Linked DNA regions of Oryctolagus cuniculus. The protein of the gene in region 5 binds, or shares a complex with, the protein of the main gene of each other region. Links are inferred from orthologs where the notes say so. Each region holds a gene or a part of one and is shown on either strand. Other genes may lie near its edges. The genes, in order: STX8, NAPA, SNAP25, CPLX1 and VAMP2.

Region 1 (4,104 bases), about 1.2 Mb from region 5:
ATTCACGTGTGAAAGGTTAAACAGATGGAGTAGACAATGACGGATGTGATCAGGGCTGGAAGGATGCTGAGTAATGGGGAGAGATGTGGGTGGGTATAAAACCTAGGGCTGTGTCTGTACAGAGCGAATGCTTGGTGTTGCTCCTACTGCTGCTGTAACATCGTTGCCCTTTTTTTTTTCTTTTAATGGCATCAGACTCAGGATTTAGGATTTACCTAGGTTTTTTTTTTTTTTTTTTTTTTTTTTTTTTTTTTTTTTTTTTTTTTTTTAAGATTTATTTATTTTTCTTGAAAGTCCGAGTTACACAGAGAGAGAAGGAGAAGCAGAGAGAAAGGTCTTCCATCCAATGGTTCACTCCCCAATTGGCTGCAATGCCTGGAGCCGTGCTGATCCGAAGCCAGGAGCCAGGAGCTTCTTCTGGATCTCCCATGTTGGCTGCAGGGGCCCAAGGACTTGGGCCATCTTCTACTGCTATCCCAGGCCATAGCAGAGAGCTGGATCAGAAGTGGAGCAACCAGGACTCGAACTGGCACCCATATGGGATGCCGGCACTGTAGGTGGCGGCTTCACCCGCTACACCACAGCACTGGCCCCTTACTTACCTAGGTTTTTGAAACCTGTAGTTCTACTTTTTCTTTAATTTTCTTTCTTTCTTTCTTTCTTTCTTTCTTTCTTTCTTTCTTTCTTTCTTTCTTTCTTTCTTTTTTTTTTTTTTTTTTTGACAGGCAGAGTTGTTAGAGTCAGAGTCAGAGTTACAGTCAGAGTTACAGTTAGAGTGAGAAAGGTCTTCCTTCCGTTGGTTCACCCCCCAAATGGCCGCCACGGCCAGCACGGTGCACAGATCTGAAGCCAGGAGCCAAGTGCTTCCTCCTGGCCTCCCACGCGGGTGCAAGTGCCCAAGCACTTGGGCCATCCTCCACTGCACTCCCAGGCCACAGCAGAGAGCTGGACTGGAAGAGGAGCAACCGGGACTAGAACCTGGCGCCCATATGGGATGCCGGCGCCGCAGGTGGAGGATTAACCAAGTGAGCCACGGCACCGGCCCAAGATTTATTTATTTATTTGAAAGAATTACACAGAGAAGGAGAGGCAGAGAGAGAGGTCTTCCATCTGCCTGTTCACTCCTGAGTTGGCCACAACAGCTGGAGCTGTACCGATCCAAAGCCAGGAGCTTCTTCTGGGTCTCCCATGCTGGTGGAGGGGCCCAAGGACCTGGGCCATCTTCTACTGCTTTCCTAGGCCATAGCAGAGAGCTGGACGGGAAGTGGAGCAGCCAGGACTTGAACTGGCACCCGTATGGGATGCTGGCACTGCAGGTGGCGGTCTTACCCACTACGCCACAGTGCCAATCCCAACAGATATTTCTACCTTTGGTGTATGAAAAAAATTTGTCTTAAATATGAAAGTGACACACTACCTACTGCACTAACGAGGCACCTACTTTGTCTTAAATAAAAAGGCCATTTAAGAACTCCTTTCCTAATAATGTCTGTGTGGTTATGCCTCTGGTACCTCTTGGAGGATTAGTGTGAGTGTTAGGTTCTCCCATCATCTCTCTGGCAAGCTGTAATTCCTTGGACCAGACTTGTACCTTGTTCATTCCTGTATCTCTCAACAGCACTGGAACACAGTTCCTGGCATAAACCAAGGATGCCGTAAATCGTGGTCAGGTTGAATTTTCAGAGCATGTGAGGCTGGGCCTCTCTGCACCTGTGGGAGCGGTTTGCAGCTGAGCTGTGTTTTCTGCCATATGTAATGCGTTTGACATTGTTCTCAGGTCCAGTCTGATGAGTGAAGAAGCTAAGCGAGGAGCGCCCAACCCTTGGCTCTTGGAGGAGCCAGAGGAGACCAGAGGCTTGGGTTTTGATGAGATTCGGCAACAGCAGCAAAAAATCATCCAAGGTACTGAACACCCCAAAGAGTGTGGGTTTAGAAGTAACCTTGCCAGCTTTTTGCAATAGCCTTGAATGTCCCTTAACCCCCACTGCAAATCGGAACGAAACTGTTGGCCTAATTTTTAGGCTCTTGGGATCTTCGTGCCTCAGAATACCTGAGGAATAGACGCCGGCCGTCACCCACCCCGCAGCTCAGGGAAGCAGGGGATCTGTCTTCGGACCTGAGCTGGTCTCATGCTGACGAGTCTGGGTGACTTTGATGTGTGTACCTATAGGTTTTTTTTTCCGAACGCAAGACTCCATCTTTTTCTTCTATAAAATAAGTCAGTTTGGTTTTTACCTTCAAGTTCATCTTGCTCAGTAGCTTGTCAGCCTAATTGTTTCTTTTTCAACCTCTTCTGCTGTTCAAACTTGAGAAGCAGTGCATGATTGCCATACATAGTTCAAGCCATCTAGGGCTAGGAGAGATGGCAAACCATTGCTTCTCCAGTCTCAGCCTGGGTTCAGTGGGGCCAGGCATGTTTCCTCAGATGTGGATCCATGGTGTGCATGTATTCAGTGTAACACGTGAGAAACACAGGTACCTCCTGATAGGTGTGTCATCCACACCTTTTTTTTTTTTTTTAAGATTTATTTATTTGAAAGGCAGATTTAGAGGCAGAGGCAGAGAGAGCGAGAGCGAGCTTCCATCCACTGGTTTACTCCCCAGATGGCTGTGATAGCCAGAGCAGGGCCGATACAAAGCTAGGATCCAGGAGATTATTCTGGGTTTCCCACATGGGTACAGGGGCCCAAGGACTTTGGGCCATCTTCTCCTGCTTTCCCAGACCTTAGAGAGCTGGATTGGAAGTGGAGCAGGGAGGACTTGAACTAGCACCCATATGGGATGCCGGCACTGCAGGTGGTGGCTTTGCCCGCTATGCCACAGCACTGGCCCTCTTCCACAGCTTTTAAAAAATGTAATGTGTGGCCGGCGCCGCGGCTCACTAGGCTAATCCTCCACCTTGCGGCGCCGGCACACCGGGTTCTAGTCTCGGTCGGGGCACCGGATTCTGTCCCGGTTGCCCCTCTTCCAATCCAGCTCTCTGCTATGGCCAGGGAGTGCAGTGGAGGATGGCCCAAGTGCTTGGGCCCTGCACCCCATGGGAGACCAGGAGAAGCACCTGGCTCCTGCCATCGGATCAGTGCGGTGCGCCGGCTGCAGTGCACCGGCTGCGGCAGCCACTGGAGGGTGAACCAATGGCAAAAGGAAGACCTTTCTCTCTCTCTCTCTCTCTCTCTCTCTCTCTCTCTCACTCTCTCACTGTCCACTCTGCCTGTCAAAAAAAAAAAAAATGTGTCAGACATTTTTCATGTCAGTATATACAGGTATGACCTTTGTAATTCTACTTTTTTTTTTTTTTTTTTTTTTTTGACAGGCAGAGTGGACAGTGAGAGAGACAGAGAAAGGTCTTCCATTTGCCATTGGTTCACCCTCCAATGGCCGCCGCGGCCGGCGCGCTGCGGCCGGCGCACCGCGCTGATCCGATGGCAGGAGCCAGGAGCCAGGTGTTTTTCCTGGTCTCCCATGGGGTGCAGGGCCCAAGCGCTTGGGCCATCCTCCACTGCACTCCCTGGCCACAGCAGAGAGCTGGCCTGGAAGAGGGGCAACCGGGACAGAATCCGGCGCCCCAACTGGGACTAGAACCCGGTGTGCCGGCGCCGCTAGGCGGAGGATTAGCCTAGTGAGCCGCGGCGCTGGCCTTGTAATTCTACTTTTTAAAAATAGCTTTATTGAGATCGAGTTGATGCTATCATAACTAGCACACATTTGAAGTGTATGATTTGGTAAGCATCGACACATATCTACAAACCTGCAAAACCCTCGATACAATCAGAACAAACATATTCGTCACTCCCAAAGACATCCTCCATGTCATTTTGTAATTCTTCTTGCTGCTTCTCTCATTCCTAGACAACTACTGTTCTGCTTTCTGTCACTCTAAATTAGTGTCTCTTTTCTGTAATTTTATATAAAGAGTCCTCCAGGCGCTCCCCCCGGGGGAGGAGGAGGTCTGGTTTGTTTCTCTAAGTGTATTAAGGTTCATGTACGTGTTTCACGTGGCAGTATTTTGTTCCCTTCCGGTACACTGTGCCATGGTATGACTGTCACAGGCTGTGTTATCCAATCACCTGTTGATGGGTATCTGGGTTCTTTTCAGTTTGGGGC
Region 2 (4,887 bases), on a different chromosome or scaffold from region 5:
TCCGTGTGAGGCCCTGCCCGCTCACGCGGCGGGAAGCTCGTGGACGTCCATTTGGGGAGGGGAAGCAGCAGCAACAAACAGGTGAACATGGTGACTGTGGGCCCTGATGCTGGGCGCACCGCTGGCCGTGGCTGACGCCCGGGTCAGCTGGGTCAGGCGGTCCAGTGACTGCGTGAATCAGGGACCCGTGGCGGCCAGCGTCAGTACCTGGCCCCCTCGCGCTGAAGTCCAGACCGGCACGTGGGCAGCTCCCCTGGTGGCTCTGGCCGGGACAGTAGTCTGTGGCACCTCCAGGCTGATCCCTGGCAGTGGGACAGGGGATGACGCGGTTGTGCCGGGGCACTCGGGGTTTATCCCCACCCTAGGTGAGCTCTGGACACCTCCCTGAAGGGCCTCCAGGTGCACTGGTTGCCTATTGCTTTACATCCGACAGCCTAAAACACATGACAGCTTGGTACCGGTGCTGCTTGGACAGGCACGGGACCGAAATTGCCTGTGGCGATCCAGACAGACGTCCGCCGAGGCTGTGGTCCGCACACAGCGGCCGCCACAAGCAGCGGCTCGGGAAAGCGCTTCCTGGAAGAGAGCTGGGCGAGAGGTCGGCCTGCCGTGCCCTGGTCAGTCAACCCCAGCCCCGCACAGCACTGCGCGTGCACACGCCGGTCCCATGCTGGGCGGGGCTCTGGAAAGAAATGGACTCCTGTGCCTCGCAGGCTCAGAATGGGGATCGCGACAGGGCGGGCCCTGCAACCTGACTCTGTAAAGCAGCTTTTCAGAATAGGTTCCCAAAACTCCAGACCCCACAGCTTCCCCACGCTTGCCATTAGGCTGGTACCTCTGATGCAGTGAACAAGCCGATCTGGGCACCGTGTGGCCGGCCAGCGTCTGTGCCCTGACTTCTTGAGGTCAATCCGACGCCACCCTGCACTGAGCAGCCGTGGCCCCCTCGGCTCTTACTAGGGAAGGGGAGCAGTACTAAAAATCAAGATCAAGACACCAGGCAATGCTGGAACCGCCGGCAGGCAGACAGCTTGACTTGCGGCCAGCGGCCAGGTCGAGCTCCCTGCCGGACGGCTGGCCGGGGAAGCCGCCAGGACGGAGGGCCCACGGCGAGAGGGGCCCCCCGCGGCGCCAGCAGCGCCCCACGCTCTGCGCGGCCCCGCGGCTCAGACTGGCGAGTCCGGCCCCTGGGAAACAAGCTCCGGGGGCGACGCCTCTCGTTCTCTGCCCCGTCCCTGCGTCCCCCTCTCGCCTGAATCTCGCACGCGCGGCTGCAGGCGCTCCCATCTGTCAAGCACTGCACGGGCCTCCCGCGCCAGTTTCAGCATCGGCCGGCAGAGGGCGCAAGAGAAAGCAGAACGCTCCCCTTTTTTCCCACTGAGGCCTTTTCGAGTGAAAGGAACCACGCGAGACAAGGCTTAGAGGCGGGACTAAAACACCGAGCAAGAGAACTGTCAAACCCAGGCGTGCGCCGGAAGTTGTCACGTGACAGCCGCCGCTCCAGCTGACCCGTGCCCAACTTCCGCAAGGTGGGGCGGACCCGAGCAGAGAGCGGCTGCTGATTGGTGGAAAGGCAAATACTGCGGCAGCACTTTGGGGGTGGGTCCCTGACGGTGAGGGCTACGATTGGCTAGTGCGGCGTCACGAGGTGGTGGGTGCGGAGCATCCGGAAGAGAGGCGCAAAACAGGTGGCTACGCATGCGTCGAGAGTCACGGGGCGGTGCGCGGCGGCCTGCCGGGGCGTGGCCAGCGGGGAGCGCGCCGCGCTACGAGGTCCCTGATTGGCCAGTGCCAGTCACCTGGTGCCCGGCCTCGGGCGGCGCGCGCCGGTGCGACGTCAACGCAGCCAGCTAAGCTCCCGGGACCTGTGTACCGCGGCCCGGCCGGGCCTGAGTCCTCCCAGGGCCCGGGTCGGGCGGTTCGCTGAGTTCGCTCTGCGGCCGCCATGGATAACTCGGGGAAGGAAGCGGAGGCGATGGCGCTGCTCGCCGAGGCGGAGCGCAAAGTGAAGAACTCGCAGTCCTTCTTCTCAGGCCTGTTCGGGTAGGAACCAGGCCGAAAGGTCGGCCGGGACCTGGGCTGGGGGCCGCAGGGGTCACGGCCTGGGGTGGCGGGGGAGGCGCGGTGCGGGGGCCGGTTTCCAGGGAGAGGGCCGAAGGGGCTTGGGCTGGGGACCCACGGGCCCGGGCGACCACCTCTTGAGGCGGGGAAGGGGATCCAGGCTGAAGACGGGCTCAGAGGCCAGCGGAGACCTGGGCGAAGGGGATACGGGCAGTGGCCTTGGCGGGGACCAGCCGCGGGGGCCAGGTTCCAAAGCCTTCTCAAGCCCTCGGGGGATCTGTTTGAGGGGTCGCGCCGGGGCCTGGGGCTGGGGCCACCTGCCCAAGGGGCTGACCTTCCCGAGCCCAGGCAGGGGGCTGCTGCGTAGCCCTTCGGTAAGGACAGGGCTCGCACAGGGCCTGAGGGCTTGGGGACAGGACTAGCGGCTGCCATGCGGCAGGCGCCCACGGAAGTTGGCGGCAGCTCAGGGCCGGCCGCACTGAGGGGCTTTGGGGTGCGGCTGCCGCTCAGCCCGCGACCTGGGTGAGTTTTAATCTCCCCGACGAAGGGGTAGCCAGTGAGAGCTGTCTCCTCCCCGTCGATAGCCGGGCGGCGTTGGGCTGGCGGATGGCGAGCGCTCCGAAGTGGTGGCTGGCAGTGTTGGGAGTGCCCTGCAAGGAAAGAGGTGTGCGGTGATGGGGGCTGGTAGAGAGCCAGGCGGGAGCCGGGGAGCGGCTCAGGAGCCGAAAGGGGCAGGGAAGGCCTGCGGACCGCGGGGCTTAGCGGGGTCAGGGCACGGGCCGGGGAGGGGTAGCGGAGGTCAGCGGGAAGCTTGGGGGGTCAGGGCACGGGGCCGGGGAGGGGTGGCGGAGGTCAGCGGGAAACTTGGGGGGGTCAGGGCACGGGGCCGGGGAGGGGTGGCAGAGGTCAGCGGGAAGCTTGGGGGGTCAGGGCACGGGGAGGGGTAGCGGAGGTCAGTGGGAAGCTTGGGGGGTCAGGGCACGGGGCCGGGGAGGGGTAGCGGAGGTCAGCTGGAAGCTTGGGGGGTCAGAGCCGGGGAGGGGTAGCGGAGGTCAGCGGGAAGCTTGGGGGGTCAGGGCACGGGGCTGGGGAGGGGTGGCGGAGGTCAGCGGGAAGCTTGGGGGGTCAGGGCACGGGGCCGGGGAGGGGTAGCGGAGGTCAGCTGGAACCTTGGGGGGTCAGGGCCCAGGAGGGGTAGCGGAGGTCAGCTGGAAGCTTGGGGGGTCAGGGCCGGGGAGGGGTAGCGGAGGTCAGCTGGAAGCTTGGGGGGTCAGAGCCGGGGAGGGGTAGCGGAGGTCAGTTGGAAGCTTGGGGGTCAGGGCCGGGGAGGGGTAGCGGAGGTCAGCTGGAACCTTGGGGGATCAGGGCCGGGGAGGGGTAGCAGAGGTCAGCTGGAACCTTGGGGGGTCAGGGCCAGGGAGGGGTAGCAGAGGTCAGGGCACGGGGGCCGGGGAGGGGTAGTGGAGGTCAGCGGGAAGCCGCTGAGGCCGAGCTTAGGACGGGGAATGGGACTGGGGTTTGCTGCAAGCCGGGGAAGGGGGTCTGGGAGGCGGGGGGGGGAGGGTCTTTCCAGGAGACTGAGCCTGCCCTTGCTGCTGGAGGTGGGATAACAGCAAAGGAAAACGTCCGGGTCCTCATGGGTTTTGTTGTAGACTGAGTGGAGACCGTGTGTGTGCGCATGCGTGTGTGTAATTCAAGTGCGCTGTTCTGAGGGTGGCTGGTGGTGTCTGGTGCCCTTGGCCCAGGGTTAGGGCCCCGCTGGGCTGCACCGGGGGGGGGGCGGGCAGCTAAGCCAGCCTGGGACAGGCTGCTGGGTTGGGATGGGGAGCGCGACACTTGGCGTGGACTAGTGAGGCTGGGTTGTTGGTTGTAAGGTGGGCTGGGTGATGTCCTTCAAAGCCTGCAGGACTCGGGCGGACGGCGCCTGGCATGAGTGCTGTGAGCAAAGGCCTCACCTGGTGACAGGGACGGCCAGGGGTGGTCTCCCTCGGGCGTGATGGGCCATCGGGGGAGCCGTGTGCTGCGGAGCTGTGAGGCGCGGCCTGTGAAGGTTTAGTGCAGGGGGTTGGGGCTGGGCCAAGGTGAGGCCACGAGCGAGCGAGGGCCTGGACTTGAGCCGAGCCCGAGAGGAGAGTGCTGGGTCTGAGCAGCGACTGGGGACGCTGCCGCCCGTGCTTCCTGACGCCGGGCCTGGCGCTTCCGTCCTCGCCAAAGCCCCGTGGATAGCGGAGGCCTAGAGACATCGCCGTAGGTGCTGGAGCAGCATGCGCTGCCCGGCCTGGCGCTCACTCTGCCCTGCCGTGCCGCAGCGGCTGCTCCAGGGCCAGGGCCAGGGCCGAGCCCCCAGAGCTCTGCAGTGGGGAGGGCGCGGCACACCAGGTCTCGGGGAGCTGCCGCCCTCTAGCCCCTCCCCCCCAGTCTTCCACGGGAGAAAGGAAGCAGCTTTGGGGCCTGCGCTGCCCCGACGCTGGCACCCCGCATCGGGGCGCTGGTTTGAGTTCCGGCAGCTCCTCTCTGATCCAGCTCTCTGCCAGTGTGCCCGGGAAGGCAGCAGATGCCCAGGTGCTGGAGACCCGGTGGAGGGCCTGGTTCCTGGCTCCGGACTGGCACAACCCCAGATCTCTATGTCTCTGTCTCTCTTTGTCCACTCCACCCTCCTCCTCTCTGTCACTCTGCCTTTCAAGTAGATAAATCTTTAAAAAATAGAAAACAACCGGTGCCGCGGCTCACTAGGCTAATCCTTCGCTTTGTGGCGCCAGCACCCCGGGTTCTAGTCCCGGTTGGGGCGCCGGATTCTGTCCCGGTTGCCCCTCTTCCAGGCCAGCT
Region 3 (4,579 bases), on a different chromosome or scaffold from region 5:
TTTCCTCCCCCATCACCACTTCCCGCAATCACATGCAATTAAAAGGCTTATTATTGCTGAAGCTTGGCCCTCAGCCAGCAAGGTGCGTGTGTGGGTGCGTGTGTGTGTGTCCGTACTTGTCTGTATATTGTTTTTCCGGAGCCAGTTCTAAATGGTTTTCTCTACGTCTGAAGGAGACAAGGATCTTCCATAGCCCAAAAGAGGCCATCAAGTTTTAACACTGCGAGGCACGACTTCTAATTGCATCCTCCCCAGAAAAGTACAAACAGTTCCTCAGACGAGGTCCCCCACCTCCTACGCGCCCAGCAGCCTGCCCTCCCCGCAGAGAGCCCCGCGACAGCCTCCCCAACACCTGTGAATCATCCGAGAGGCTCCAAGGCAGAGCTATTTGCACGCCACCCCCATCACCGCCACCACTGCCTCCCTGGGCGCCTCCTGCACGACAACAGGGTGGGGTGGGGGTAGCTAGGATTATTGCTTTTTTATTATTATTTCTAATTTCTCATATGACTTGCACAAGACACCTTCCTCACTCTTGCCCTGATTTGAACATCAGAGAGCCCCGAGCCAGCCTGTCGTGGTGCCCAGGCTTTGCTCACTGAGCGAAGCACCAGCGTTTTATCGCGTCCTAACCATGCTTGAACGCAAACCCGCCACCTTCTCCCTGGATGTCTGGACCGATCTAGGAGGCGCCTACGTGCCTGTGCGGACTTTTCCTAAAATACCCAACGCAAAACCCCAGGCTCAGACTGCAAATTCCGCTGAAAACAGCGTCATCAATGTTACCCTGGCCAACAGCTCTCAACTCCTAGCCTGGAGTCCTAGCAACCCCCTGCTGGTTTGGTTAACGACCCTTCCGGACTCAGCGGATACTCTCCGTGGTAATAGCTCTGACGTACTTTAAAATAAAGTGTGTGAGTCTCTCTTCCCAACTGACCACATGAATGCAAACTCCTAGCCCTCGTTGCAGCTCGGATAAAATGAAGAAATCACTCATAAAAAATAGCAACCCACGTAGCCTAGCCATATATGGAGCTGGGGAGGGTTGACAGGGATGTCCCTTCGGACCCTTTTCTGGTGGTTAGGGGCACAAACCGTAGCTGAAATTTCCCCCTCCCTCACCGTTCCCACCACCGCCTCTGCCTTCCTCTCTTCGCGTGTGACTCAATTCAGCTGGAGTAAATTATGTATATGTGATCTATAGATGTACGTATATTAACATTCATAGGCACACACAACAAAGGACATCAGGGAGCCAGTGGCAAGGTAAATGTGTTTGCCCAAGACCGGGTGTTAAAATGGAGTCCTAAAACCTCTCTGTTCGGGTGTTTATAGAACGCTAAAATGCAAAGATTTGTAGTGAAGCGCACACGGAGCTGAGTCAAGCTCTGGGCACCTCGAGACTCGTCCCCTCCCTTCACGCGCCTCCGCCCCCCTCGCTCCTCCCCGGCCACCACGCGCCCCCTCCCTCATTCGACCCTCCCTGCTCTCCATTCCCCCCACTCACCCCGCCCCTCGCCAGAATACTTCCTCCCCGCCCCTCCCGAGCCGGCTATTAAAAGCTGCTGACGTCAAAGGGACGGCCATCTTTGATGAGGGCAGAGCTCACGTTGCATTGAAGACGAAACCTCGCCGAGGTCAGGCGCTGTCTTTCCTTCCCTCCCTGCTTGGCGGCTCCTCCACGCTTGCAACCTGCAGGGGCCCCGGCGAACACCACCCTCTGGAGAAGCCAAGGTAAGGGGACCCTCCCCAGCTCGAGGTTCTGGCTCTAGATGTCTGTGTACCCCAAAGGGACCCCACAGCTGGGCAGAGCAAGTGAGCTTGGGCAAATGCAAGTGTTTGTACACTTAGGGTGCGGTATTCCGGGTATGCACGTCTGGCTAGACTCCCTTCTGGGGCTTTATAAAGTATTTTCGAGGTGAGCTGCTTGGGGAAGGGATGAATGGAGATAGTGCAGGTGGAGCGATGAGGAGGAAGAACAAGGATACATACCGAATAAGTTACTCCTCTGCAACAGTCGTGGGACTCTGTCTCTTCCATTTTGCGATGCAGTTTTCGGAGATGTTTAGCAGGCTAGGGGGTAGGGAGTAGGGGTTTGTTTTTCTTTCTGTGGACCAAAAAAAAAAAAAAAAAAAAAAAACGAATCAAAACAAAAAGCCATCATGTTGTTCTAATTCTCTTGGGAAGAATTAAGGAGGAGGCAAGGTGTGGGGCGCTGGGGAGGCCAAAGGAGAAAGAACGAGTTCTCGCCCCGGGCAAGCGGAGCTGTGGCAGCGGCAGCAGCCTCCATGCCCCGCGGACTTGATTTATGCCGCCTGCTCCACGTCAACTGCAGGCTGGCGGGAGGCGGGCGGGTCGTGCCGAGTGGGAGGGCTCTGCGGAGGGCTGGCGCGGTGGGCTCGCCCCGGGGACTGCGGCGGCCGGTGCTCAGCACCCTGGAGAGCAGTACCGGGGGCCCGTGCTGGCGCCGGCGACCTTTCAGCACCACAGACAGCAGTCCGGCCGCAGAGCGGCATCTACCTGCGGCAGACGCCTGGCGGGGACTGGATGTGCCAGGGTTGGAGGTCAAATCGTCTCTCTGAGACCCTGATCTTACAGGGACCATTAATAGAGCAGGCATAGTAGGTTCAAAGAGAAAAGGGAAGAAAAAATAAATCCTGTCCACAAAGACTTAAGACAATTGCCTGCTCTCCTGTTCACCTCCTGCATACCATCAAAAAAAAAAAAAAAAGTCTGCTGGTGGAAACCCTCTGTGTTGCCCTCTGCCCCTCTTCGGTAGGAAATAAACACTTTTAAAAATAATATGTGTTAAGTCTCTAGCAAGATATATACATTTTTGTTTGTTTTTGTTTTTAACAGAGTAAATCAATCTACAGATCTTGGGTGGGCATGAGTGGGGTATATATGAAGATGGCAAAACTGTTTATAGAAGTGATATCTTTCTAAATATTTATATTTTATGAACATTTAGGATTAACTGAATTAATAAGAATCAACATTACCACGAGCACACATTCACAAAAATACATCTTCGAGGACTATTACAGTCCTATAGTGTGTATTATTTAACATCTCTTGCTGTGAATTCAGAGTTAGTAGAAGTATTTCCTGTAGTTGTTGGTTATTAATGGTCAGTAGTTTCTTTTTTGTTTTGATAACATTAAGACTGGTCTACCACAGGACAATCCAACTGTGTCCTTCAGGACACGGCAGATGAGAGATCCAGGGTGTTAGAATGAAACCGGGTTCCAACCTAAAGATCTACTGCAATTTCTATTATAGCACTGCAGGATTTTGCTGAGGTGATGATAAATACTTTGGCCATTTTCTACTCTGAGGTTTGGAGCCTCTGAGTGAGCAAAAATCATCACAGCAATATTTCTCTTTGATTTAGACAGATCAAATTGTCATGAAATGGCTGGGATCAAAACTGTACTATTTAAGTAGCTGGCAAAAAGAATAACTGTCATATGTAAGAATATGTACAGCATATTAAAAAATGCTACCATGATCCCTTTAAAAGACTCAAAATAAGATCTTGGATTGTGTTTAATTAGGCATAACTCCAATCATCTGTATACTAAAGATTCTAAAACATCTTGTTCACATACAGAAGGTTTTTCCATCTCAAGCTATCTATTTATTACATAGTGTTTTTCCTTTTTATGGTTAACCATGCATTTATATATATGTGTGTGTGTGTATTGTATATAATATATATATATTTGTTCTGTATGGATGTAAAAATTATTTGGGTGGACATTTATTCATCAGTCTATACCTGCATGAAAGAAGTTTATAACTCTAAAATCTTCAGGCAAAATAAACAACTTGTTTCAGTTATGGGAGGAAGGGAGTTATGGACAGGAATCATTAAAAATGTTTTTATCTTCATGCTGCATATCCAGACAGCTCTCTGCGTAGTTGCGTCAAAAGAAAAGCCTAATGCAGCTGGAATTACGTGCTTGGACATTGGTAATTACTGCTGAGTTTGTTTGCTAGTGGAAGACTGGGGATAGGAGGAAGAGGTAGAGGACTGCAGTGAAGCTGCGAAGGGCACAGGACTGGGAGGGAGAAGCAAAATGCGGGATGATAGGGCTAATTCTGAACGAGCTTACTGACAAATTAAAGAAAAACATCACTGATTCATGAATTTAACATGTACATTGTTGACACACTTCATAAAAAGGAATCTAAGATGTGTTATTTTAAGAATTTTAAAAATCCAGGGCAGTGCAGTGAGAAGAGGTATGAGCAGATAGACAAAAGGATGAACCAGGTATCATTCATGCAGCCCCTCTGATGGTACCTGGAATTTTCTGTTACTATTTTGGCATTCAGATAACAAAACAACTTACAGTCTTCTGAGCTGTTCTATGGTAAAATCTCTGAAAAATGAAACCTTTTATTTTCACTCTGTTAGACATGCACAATCACACATATGCAAACACAACATAAACTGTCCCTTAGTTAGCTTGTCTAAAGATATTCCTGAGCTCTAAATGATAGCCCTCAGTGTCAGGGTTATCAACTGGAAGATTGATGTTTGTTCCAGTCCCACCTGGAAGCTGCGTAACAG
Region 4 (4,104 bases), on a different chromosome or scaffold from region 5:
CACGTCATCTGGGGTGTATTTGCAAACAGGACCTTGGTCAAGGTCATCCTGGATCTAAGGGGACCCCAACTCCAGGAAGGGTCTTTATGAGCAGCAGGAAAGGCACACAGAGGCGAGGCCACTGAAGATGGAAGACGGGCACACCTGACACGTGGGGTAGCGGCCTGAGGTCCCAGCAGCTGCGCCAGGCAGGAAGGCCACTCGTGGGTCCTTCTTTTCTCTCGAGGTTTTGTGATAAACCCGGGGTGGCCTCAGTGACAATACACCCCTGCCAACACCCCAGAACAGCGTGGACACTGCAGTCTTGGTGAGGCCACGAACCACCAAACAAGTGGCGGGCACAGGGCAGGAGTGGGGTCCACCCAGGCTGGGGGCTCAGGGTCTCCCCTGAGCCAGGGCTGACCTCCAGCTCCAAGGGGGCGATGAGGTGGGCACCAGCGGGGGCAGTGCTGGGCAGGACCAGGTCACACACCCATGCTGGGTCACCTGCCTCGGGAAGGGGGCTTTCCGCCCAGGGGGAGGCCCTGGCCATTTCTGCCTTAGTGCCCCCTCACCCTGCCCACAAAGTGCCTGGGTCTCAAGGAGGCCCCCTCCCAGATGGGGGCTGTCTGTGTCCTTGTGCCCTCCCCTACAGCTGTGGGTAGCCTCGGACCTGGGGCTGCAAGGGCCATGTCCAGCTGGAATCTGAGCAGAGGATGCCATGGTCCCCACCCCCAGCAGCCTGAGCTTCCTCAGCCCCTCTTCCCTCGGCACAGCTGGGAGTGCCACGGTCGCCAGGCCAGAACACCCGGCGCCCACACCTCACTGACCGGTCAGCCAGGCGAGGGAACCAGGCACACTGGGCCTCCCCAGCGGCCTGCCTCACTCTGTAAGGGCAGCAGCCCTGGGCACAGAAGGGGGGCAGGAGCATGTGTGGGCTGGGAGAGGGAAACTAGGTCAGGCCAGAGAGCACGTCCCCCAGCCGGGGCACGGGCAGGCGGGCTCCTGCAGCATGGCGCCTGTTTACCGGTGTGGGGCACACACGGCAGAGGGACTTGGGAGCACACAGCGTGGAGGAAGTCGGGTCCTCCCCTCGGGGCCCAGGGAGGCCCCAGGCCCCACCAGGACTGCGTGGTCACTCTGAGCTTGCCTGAAGGGCCAGTCACTCCACTAAGTGTCCAGGCTGCCCTACCTGGACGGGCACTGAGGCTCTTGCGCTACAGACACCCGGGCCAGGTGCCCGCCAGTCCCCAGGACAATAGCCCACGGAGATGACCAGAGAGGGCGCCCGGCCAGCACATGGACCCCTGGAAATCACAGCCTGTGGGGCTGGTGGCAGGGGCAAGAACCCAGAGGCAGGAGGTGACACCAAGTCTGGAGGAGGCTGCGTCCTGGACACATAAGTGCCGTGCCTGCCTGTGCCCCTGTCCACCTCAGAAGCCCAGCTCCCAACGGAGCCAGGAGAGGCTGCTTTGTCCTCTCAGGGGTCGGATGAGGCAAGGAGGGGCCCTGGGTCTGAGCCTTCCCCCTGCACAGTCCCAGGGCACTGGAGGAGTGAGGGAAGGCACAGGCCCCCCCAACAGCCTCTCGGTCCTGAGCCCCAGCACTGGAGGCCCCATTCCCACTGCTGTTTCCTGCACCCCAACAGGGGCTGACTGCTCCCTACCCCACCCCCAGGCTCTCTGGAGCCTCCTCCCCCAGCTGAACAGGTAGCTGCATGTGGCTATGCTAGACTCGGCTCTCAGCAGGGACCCAGGCCCACATCCAGGTGCCCACTCTGGCCACAACTCCCAGGAGGTCACTCAGATGACTAGAACAGGGGCCACTGTCAGCTGGACACCCACCCCCTCACCATGCCCACCCTGCCCGCCTTGCCGGTTCCAGCCCCCAACTTTGTGAATCCAGGAAGGCAGGGAGCTCCCTCCCTAGAGAGGTCTGACCTCAAACCCAGGCTCCGAAGATCCCTGGCCCCAAAAGCAGCCCCCACCCCATCCACAGGGCCTCCCCCAGGACAGACCGGCCTCACAGGGAGCCCCGGCCCAGATGTGACAGCTGCCCCCATGGGACCATGTCCCGGCACCTGTTCCGTGCATAGGTGTCCACAGAGAGAGACCCCATGCGGCCCCTGCCGCGCCCAGAACCAGGCCAGCATCTGCCTGGGGCATGTCCCGTCCTGTGCCCACCTTGTCGCGGATGCCCTGGCGCATGGCCTCTCGCTCGGCCTCCATCTTGGCGTACTTGGCCTTGCGTTCCTCCTCCTCCTGCCTCAGCGCCTCCTGCCGCTCCTCCTCCTTCTTGGCAGCATCGGGGTCCTTCTCCTCGTCACCCCCAAGCATCTTCCCCATGTCCTTGGTGGCCCCTGGGGGCGGGAGGGCAAGCAGTCAGGCAGCTGAGTGGGGAGCGAGCTCGCGCAGGACCCGCGGTTTGAGGGCGGCGGGGTTGCGGGTGGGACTCTGTGCAGGGGTGGCTGGACACGGGGCTCCGTGTATGGTCTGTGTCATCTCTGGGCCTGTGCCTAGTCGAGGGTCAACCCTCAGCAGGGCCGGCAGGACTCGCCAGATCTGCAGGCTGGACAGGAGCAGGCAGGGCGCCAGGTCGGATGCCAGCAGTCAGCGGTCGGTCAGGCTCCGGCACCAAGGCCCCGATCCCTCTGCTGTGTTTGCTCACGAGCCCCTGACCCACGCCCCTCCCCCTCCCCCCATGCTGTCTGTGGTTCACCCACGGAACAGGCACAGCAGCCCCTGCACTGAGTCAGCGGTGCTGCCCAGGAGGTAGCTCACCACACCCTGCAGGGCCACGGGGCGTCAGGGCCTGGCTAGGCACCCCGTTGCCCCTGCCAGTCACAGCCACGTCCCACCGTGGCCCTCAATCTGCAGGAGCAGAGTGCCACTCCCACCTGTGGTGTATGCAGACGGCAGGCACAGGCTGCCCCCTGCCTCCCGCAGGCGGGACCAGTGACACCCACGGCCTCTCTGGACCCAGCCTCCCCTTGCGTGTGTGCTCTCGCTCCCCTGGGGCAGGACCTCCTGAGCACCACCCCGGCTACCTGAGTCATGCCTCAGGGGAACCACCCGCTGAGTGCGGGCGCCTAGCGCCCCGCGCCTCCACCCGTGTGCAGAGGTGCCTCTCCCTGCTCTGGATCCAGAGGCCCTGCCCTGGTCCCAGCGGCAGACACCGAGGGCCCTCTCCAGCCTCCGAGGGCAGCGCGTGTGCCGCCCCCTGCTGGCGGGATGAGAACAAGGTTCTGGTGGAGTGTTCTGGACTGAAAACTGGACGCCTGAGGCCGAGCCATTCCGCGCCACGAGGGCCTTCCTACTTCTCTGGCCATCTTGTCGCCCTCGTCACTGCGGGGACCTGGAGCCAGCCTGTGTCAGGAACTTGCCGATGGCACAGATCCGGACGCATCAGAGAACCAAGAGCCTGCAGTCAGTTTTCAGCTGCTTCTGCAAAATTCTGCAAAGCGGATTTTAGGGCACGGGTTGGCGGGAAACTGGGTCAGAGAAGAAGCCGAGTCCACTCCCCCTCCCAACGGTTCCCACTCGTGCCCGGGCCTCTGCCTGCCGAGCTGTGGTCTCTGGCAGGGGCAGAGGAGGCCAGGACAAACCACACAGCCTGACTGCTCTGCGCTGGTTCACACTCAGCGAGAGCGGCTGTGAGTCCTGTCTCTCTCCTCGCCCGCTTTCCTCTCTCCTGCGCAGCGCGGGGGTGGGCTGCACCCCAAGGCCTGCCCCCCCCGCCACAGGCTCTGGTTCCAGTCGAGGCGGCTGCGTTTATTGAGCACCGACTGTGCGCTAAGCTCTGTGGGTGTCCTGCAGGGACTTCGGCGGCCCCACTTGAGCTCCGGGGAGGGAAACCCCACCTTTAGGAGAGGAGGAGCGGGGAGGCCAGCAGCCCCGCCACCCACACTGTCAGAGGGACCAGGGAGCCACAAGCACCCCCCGTGCTTCCTCCCACCCCCAGTGCTGCAGGAACGGCCTCCGGAACCTTCCAAACGCTGGAGTGGGGTGCCAGAGCCGCCCGGCGGGAAGCTTGTTCCTGGCTCCTGAGCCGGAATCACCGTTTGCTCTCTTGGCACAGACACCGGAGCTGCCGGGTGGGTGGGGCTGCGCCTCTCACTCCGTGCCC
Region 5 (4,701 bases):
TGTGGCCATCCCCCAACTCTCCTGGTGGGAGGAGGAGGTGGATCAGGCAGACAGATGGGAGAGAGGGAGACCCCACGGGAATGTCAGTTGAGTGCCCCACATGAAAACTGGGGACAGGAATGTAGGGAGAGACCCCAAGTGGCAGAATTATTGGTCCATCATAACACATTGAACTCCAAGACACTTCCACGCCAGCTGAGGGGAGGGAGGGAAGGGCACAAGAGGTTTGGGAAATGGGGGTAGGGGCGGCAAACGACTAGAGGGCCTGGGAGTGGGCAGTTCCCCAAAAAGCCCAGGCTCTCCACCGCCTGTAAGTAATGTCGTGCAAATAAGAGTGACACAAGGACTACTGGGGACTAACTTTCCAGTAAGAAAGAAATTGGTTCAAAGAAGAGTGATGGAACAAAAAACAAGGAAACCAAAGGGATGTTGGTGTGCAAATGATCTGCTAATTAACACGCTGGAAGCTCCCAGAAGATCTTGGGATTCTCAGGACCAAGTGGGGCCAGTCTCAGGGCCTCCCAATGGATGCAAAGAAGGTGCATGTAGGGAGGCCTGGCCAGGTGCTTTTGTCTGTTGTGGGAGGAGTGCAGAGGGGGAGGAGGGGGAAGGCAAGGAAGGATCAGCTGGATGGGGGAAGGAGAGGGGCTGTTGCATAGCAGATGCAAATGAGGGGACTTGGGACTGGTCAGGAGGGAAAGGGGGGGACAGGGACAGAGAGAGGCGAGGACGGGGACACCTCAGGAAGGGGTGTTAAGGACAACCGGAAAAATCTTCTAGTAATAAAACTACAAACAGACCAAATATATATAATATTATATATGTATAAATAACAGCTGGCTATTTACAGGGGGCACACACACAGACACACACACACACACACGGATCCGGGGAGGGGCTGAGAGATATGGCTGAGAGGTGGAGGAACGGCTGGGGGTGGGGGAGAGGCCCTTCTCTAGGCAGGGCAGACTCCTCGGGGATTTAAGTGCTGAAGTAAACTGTGGAGAGAGGGAAGAGGAAGAGGAAGAGGGAGGGGGGAGGGAGGGAGAGAGAGAGAGCTGGGTGTCAGGCCCGGCCCTGCTGCGGTCCTCCCCACCCCCTAGCTGGCTGGCTGCTGCCCCTTCCCCCAGCTCGAGGCCTCAGTCTCTCCATCTGTGAAGCAAGGGGCTGGCCAGATGGGTGCCTCCACGGGATGGCTTTGGAGCCACACCCCCACCCAATTCACCAGCTCTCAGACAGCGGCAGGACTGGCTTCCTGGCCATGTCTCCATTTCCGCCTCCCACTCCCCAGTTCCAGTTCCCAAACTGGGCTCTCAAGCCCAAAGGATGCTCAGTGAAGTAGTGGGAGATCCACCGGCTTTCCCGTTGCCAACAGTCAGGCACCCGGCAGGCTGCACAGGCTTTCTGGCTCTAGGACCCACAGCTCCCTAAGCAGCTATGTGGCGTTTGCCAGAGTGAAGACTAGGTTAGTGACCTTCACATCCCAGACTGCACCCACCGGGGGGAGCCTCTCCAGAGAAGGGGCCCCGGCCACTCCCGCCCCACTCACCGATGATGATGATGAGGATGATGGCGCAAATCACTCCCAAGATGATCATCATCTGGGGGCGGGAGGGGAGGGTCAGTGAGACAAGCCCCCATCCTTCCATTCACCCCCCAGTTCTCCCGCCCCCGCCCTCACCTTGAGGTTTTTCCACCAGTATTTGCGCTTGAGCTTGGCTGCACTAGTTTCAAACTGGGAGGCCCCCGCCTGGAGTGCATCGGCGCGGTCGTCCAGCTCAGACAGCTTCTGGTCCCGCTCCAGGACTTTGTCCACATTCACCCTCATGATGTCCACCACCTGGGGGAGGGGCCCAGGAGGCAGGGGGTGTGCCAAGGCCCGCCGAAACGAGGGCACTCCTTGACCGTGTGCCCAGGGTGCCATACACAGAACATGCACCCAGATACCGCCAAGTTAACATGCCAAGGACACACAGAGAACATGCCTAGCATACCTGGGGACATGCAAGGAGCACACATCAGGGGCATGCTGGCAGCCACACATTCAGATGTCAGAGCGACCCTCAGAGAGCCTGTCAGTCACCAGGGCAAACCTGCCCAGGCTGGCACACCGCAGGCTAGCAAGGCTGCTTGACACCCCAGCGCCCTTCCAAATGTGTGCTGACGCGAAGGCAGGGAGGAGGCTCGGCATGTCTTTGTCCCCACACCCACAGCTGTGAACTGTCATCACCCCCAACCCGCGATGGGCCCCACACCTGCGTGCCCACCTGCAGGCTCTGGCCTGCGGCCTCCCACCCGGCTCACACTCACCTCATCCACCTGGGCCTGGGTCTGCTGCAGTCTCCTGTTACTGGTGAGATTGGGAGGGGGCGCAGGGGGGCCGCCCTCCCCGGCCGGGGCGGCAGGGGGGGCGGTGGCAGCGGTAGCAGACCTGAGGAGCAGGCGCAGATTAAGGCCCAGGGTCCAGAGACTCCGGCCCCGCGGCCAGGGCTCCGCCCATCCACCTGTCCATCCGTCGTCCCTCCAGTCCTCCTTTTCGGGAGGAAGGCCGCCCGATGGGAGCCCTGGTCTCCGTCCAGCCCCATCGCCGCTGAGCTGAGTGACCTTGAGCGAGGCCCCCTCCCCCCTCCGGGCCTCAGTTTCCCCGCCTGCCAAATGAGAGCGACCTCACGGACGCGGTCTGGGGTCGACACCGGATGACAGGCGTCCGCGGTGACAGGGCCGGGGCGGGGCAAGGCAGACGCTGGGTCCGCACCCTCCCGCGCGGCCATCGCCCGCGCCGGCCAGCCCGGGGGCCGCGGGGGCTCTCCCCGGCCCGCCGCGCAGTCACGGGCGCCAGGCTGGCCCCGAGAGCACCGGGGGCGCGGGCGGGACCCCGGGCCCTCCCCGCGCGGTCCACTCCCAGGGCGGCGGCCGAGGCGGGGAAGCGCGGTACGGACGGCGGGCGGCCGGCCGACTCACATGGCGGGGGCAGCGGGTGGAGGACTTGGCAGCGGCAGTGATGGCGGCGGCGGCGGCAGCGGCGGCGGCTCGCGCTGGCTCCGACTGGCGCTGGCTGCCCGGGACGGGAAGATGGCGGCCGCACGTCACCCGCACCCGGGCACTGCGGGCGGGGGCGGGGCTCGCAGGCGACACGTCGCGAGCGCGGCCGCGGGGGCGGGGCGGGGCCCGGCGGGGCGGGGGTCGAGCCGGGCGGGGCCGCCGCGGCGCGCCTCGCGCGCCCTCCCCGCACCTCGCGCGCCCTCCGCGCCACCCCTGGCTGACTGCTGCGGCTTTCCCCAAACCCCCGCGCCGCCGCGTCCTGGAGGCTCGCAGCCCCCTGCTACCCGGCCTTCCGCCGCGGAGCCCCGCACCTCACCCTAGGCCACCTCCTCCCTCTCCCGTGACTCCGATAAACCAGTCCGCAGCCCCGTGGCCCGAGGTCTCGCCCTGGCCAGGTTGCAATGCCTGGTGACCCCCCAGCTTCGGCACTCGCAATGGGCTGGGCGTGGGGAAATCAGAAGGGCCCAGCGGAGAGCGGGAACGCTCCTGCCAGAGTGGAGGAGCGGGGTGATGCGCGCTGAGACCACCTGTCACCTGGCAGGTGGATGGCTGAAGGGAGGTTTGGGGCCCCTGCGGAGCAGGAGGAGGAGGAGGAGGACCCTTCCCCTCCCCAGGCCCCGCCTCCAACCAAATCCCCGAGGGGCTGCAGGCTATGAAACTGCCAAGTTCAGAGCAGGGGCAGGCAAAGCTGGAGCAGACCCAGGGGGAGGGCGCATGCTGCCCCCCGCACTCACCCCCCCGGGGGGGGACATCGTCACGTCTAGGCCGGCCACAGACCCAGCTGTGCCCCAGACTGGAGTCAGCTGCTGCGGGACAGGCGAGGGCTTTGGCTTTGAACCTGGCCGCAGGCCGGGGGCTTTTTACCTTGGGAGGAAGGAGGACAGCAGGCAAGGGTGGCACTGCTATGTGGTGCTGCTTTACACGTGGGCTAGCCTCCTGGATGTGTCCCCCGGGCAGCTCCTTTTCTCTCTCTGGATCTCCGACACATTACACATCTAGGACTAAATATGTACGGCAGCAGTGGGATAGCTTGTAGGAGATGGTCCCCCTCCTAGGCCATCGATCACTGGTCTCCACCTAAATCCTGCACGTAGTCCCAGCCAGCTTGCAGGAGAAAATGGGCACGGGTGAGCTGTGCCTCTGGAGTGGGCAGGATCAAGGCAAGCTTCCAGGATAGAGGAAGCATTTGGGGGGGGGGGGCGATGGCTGTGGGGTGGGGGCGCTCAAACATTCCTGGAAGTGGGGGACGGAGACTGGTGGCCTTGATCTGTGAGACAAACAGGAGCCAGCTTCTTCCCTCCCCCACGCCGGCTTCCCAGGGCCTGCGGTGTGAGATCCTCCTCCACTGCCGCACCCCACCCCCTCCCGGCAGAAGCCTGGGGACCGGCTCTGTCACCAGAGGTGTCATTTCCCAGCTGTCTGGGGGAGGTGAGTTGGTGGGGGAGGGGCGGAACTCAGCCCAACCTAAGCTGCTCTTGGCTCTCTGGTGGCCCTCGGAGGAGCAGCCACATCCCTGGTCCTTGTGCACGGCTGTGGCGCACCTGGGCTAGCTCAGCCTGTGTGATGACCAACCGGGAAAAGAGCAGCTTTCCTGGGTGGGGGGTGGGGGGTGGTGGAGTGTCTCAGATCAGGCTGTGGGGTGCTGGCTCTGGCTTTGTG

What was found.
Region 1: VAMP2 (region 5) and STX8 share a complex: the UniProt entries of both Homo sapiens proteins name them as parts of the SNARE core complex. The link is inferred for Oryctolagus cuniculus from reciprocal best matches to the Homo sapiens genes VAMP2 and STX8.
Region 2: the proteins of VAMP2 (region 5) and NAPA are in contact, whole or in part, in a cryo-EM structure (PDB 3J97), measured with the Rattus norvegicus proteins. The link is inferred for Oryctolagus cuniculus from reciprocal best matches to the Homo sapiens genes VAMP2 and NAPA. Residues at the interface, in NP_036795.1 of Rattus norvegicus: Gln36, Ala37, Asp40, Glu41, Val43, Arg47, Val50, Asp51, Leu54, Glu55, Gln58, Lys59, Arg66; in NP_542152.1 of Rattus norvegicus: Arg116, Thr118, Lys122, Ser157, Ser159, Ser160, Lys163, Leu197, Tyr200, Ser201, Lys203, Arg239, Ser268, Ile269, Arg271.
Region 3: the proteins of VAMP2 (region 5) and SNAP25 are in contact, whole or in part, in a crystal structure (PDB 1SFC), measured with the Rattus norvegicus proteins. The link is inferred for Oryctolagus cuniculus from reciprocal best matches to the Homo sapiens genes VAMP2 and SNAP25. Residues at the interface, in NP_036795.1 of Rattus norvegicus: Asn25, Thr27, Ser28, Asn29, Arg30, Arg31, Leu32, Thr35, Gln38, Val39, Glu41, Val42, Ile45, Met46, Asn49, Lys52, Val53, Glu55, Arg56, Lys59, Leu60, Glu62, Leu63, Arg66, Ala69, Leu70, Gly73, Ala74, Gln76, Phe77; in NP_112253.1 of Rattus norvegicus: Gly131, Gly132, Phe133, Ile134, Arg135, Arg136, Asn139, Leu150, Glu151, Ser154, Ile157, Gly158, Leu160, Arg161, Ala164, Leu165, Met167, Gly168, Ile171, Asp172, Gln174, Asn175, Ile178, Asp179, Ile181, Met182, Ala185, Asp186, Asn188, Lys189.
Region 4: the proteins of VAMP2 (region 5) and CPLX1 are in contact, whole or in part, in a crystal structure (PDB 1KIL), measured with the Rattus norvegicus proteins. The link is inferred for Oryctolagus cuniculus from reciprocal best matches to the Homo sapiens genes VAMP2 and CPLX1. Residues at the interface, in NP_036795.1 of Rattus norvegicus: Arg47, Val50, Asp51, Leu54, Asp57, Gln58, Ser61, Asp64, Asp65, Asp68, Ala69, Gln76; in NP_074055.1 of Rattus norvegicus: Leu41, Arg48, Tyr52, Glu56, Arg59, Glu60, Met62, Arg63, Ile66, Arg67, Tyr70, Gly71, Ile72.

What each region holds. Positions count from the first base shown.
Region 1 is NC_091448.1:53,825,318-53,829,421, reverse strand, and holds part of STX8 (syntaxin-8), read left to right. Parts: intron 1-1,777; coding exon 1,778-1,902; intron 1,903-4,104. UniProt on the Homo sapiens protein: Vesicle trafficking protein that functions in the early secretory pathway, possibly by mediating retrograde transport from cis-Golgi membranes to the ER.
Region 2 is NC_091449.1:10,127,075-10,131,961, forward strand, and holds the start of NAPA (alpha-soluble NSF attachment protein), read left to right. Parts: upstream 1-1,747; 5' UTR 1,748-1,945; coding exon 1,946-2,043; intron 2,044-4,887. UniProt on the Homo sapiens protein: Required for vesicular transport between the endoplasmic reticulum and the Golgi apparatus. Together with GNA12 promotes CDH5 localization to plasma membrane.
Region 3 is NC_091442.1:35,149,069-35,153,647, forward strand, and holds the start of SNAP25 (synaptosomal-associated protein 25), read left to right. Parts: upstream 1-1,576; 5' UTR 1,577-1,734; intron 1,735-1,992; exon of another isoform or gene 1,993-2,315; intron 2,316-4,579.
Region 4 is NC_091433.1:185,429-189,532, forward strand, and holds part of CPLX1 (complexin-1), read right to left. Parts: intron 2,339-4,104; coding exon 2,163-2,338; intron 1-2,162. UniProt on the Homo sapiens protein: Positively regulates a late step in exocytosis of various cytoplasmic vesicles, such as synaptic vesicles and other secretory vesicles.
Region 5 is NC_091448.1:52,651,765-52,656,465, forward strand, and holds the start of VAMP2 (vesicle-associated membrane protein 2), read right to left. Parts: upstream 3,122-4,701; 5' UTR 2,964-3,121; coding exon 2,962-2,963; intron 2,432-2,961; coding exon 2,311-2,431; intron 1,841-2,310; coding exon 1,682-1,840; intron 1,602-1,681; coding exon 1,550-1,601; intron 999-1,549; coding exon 982-998; 3' UTR 1-981. UniProt on the Homo sapiens protein: Involved in the targeting and/or fusion of transport vesicles to their target membrane. Major SNARE protein of synaptic vesicles which mediates fusion of synaptic vesicles to release neurotransmitters.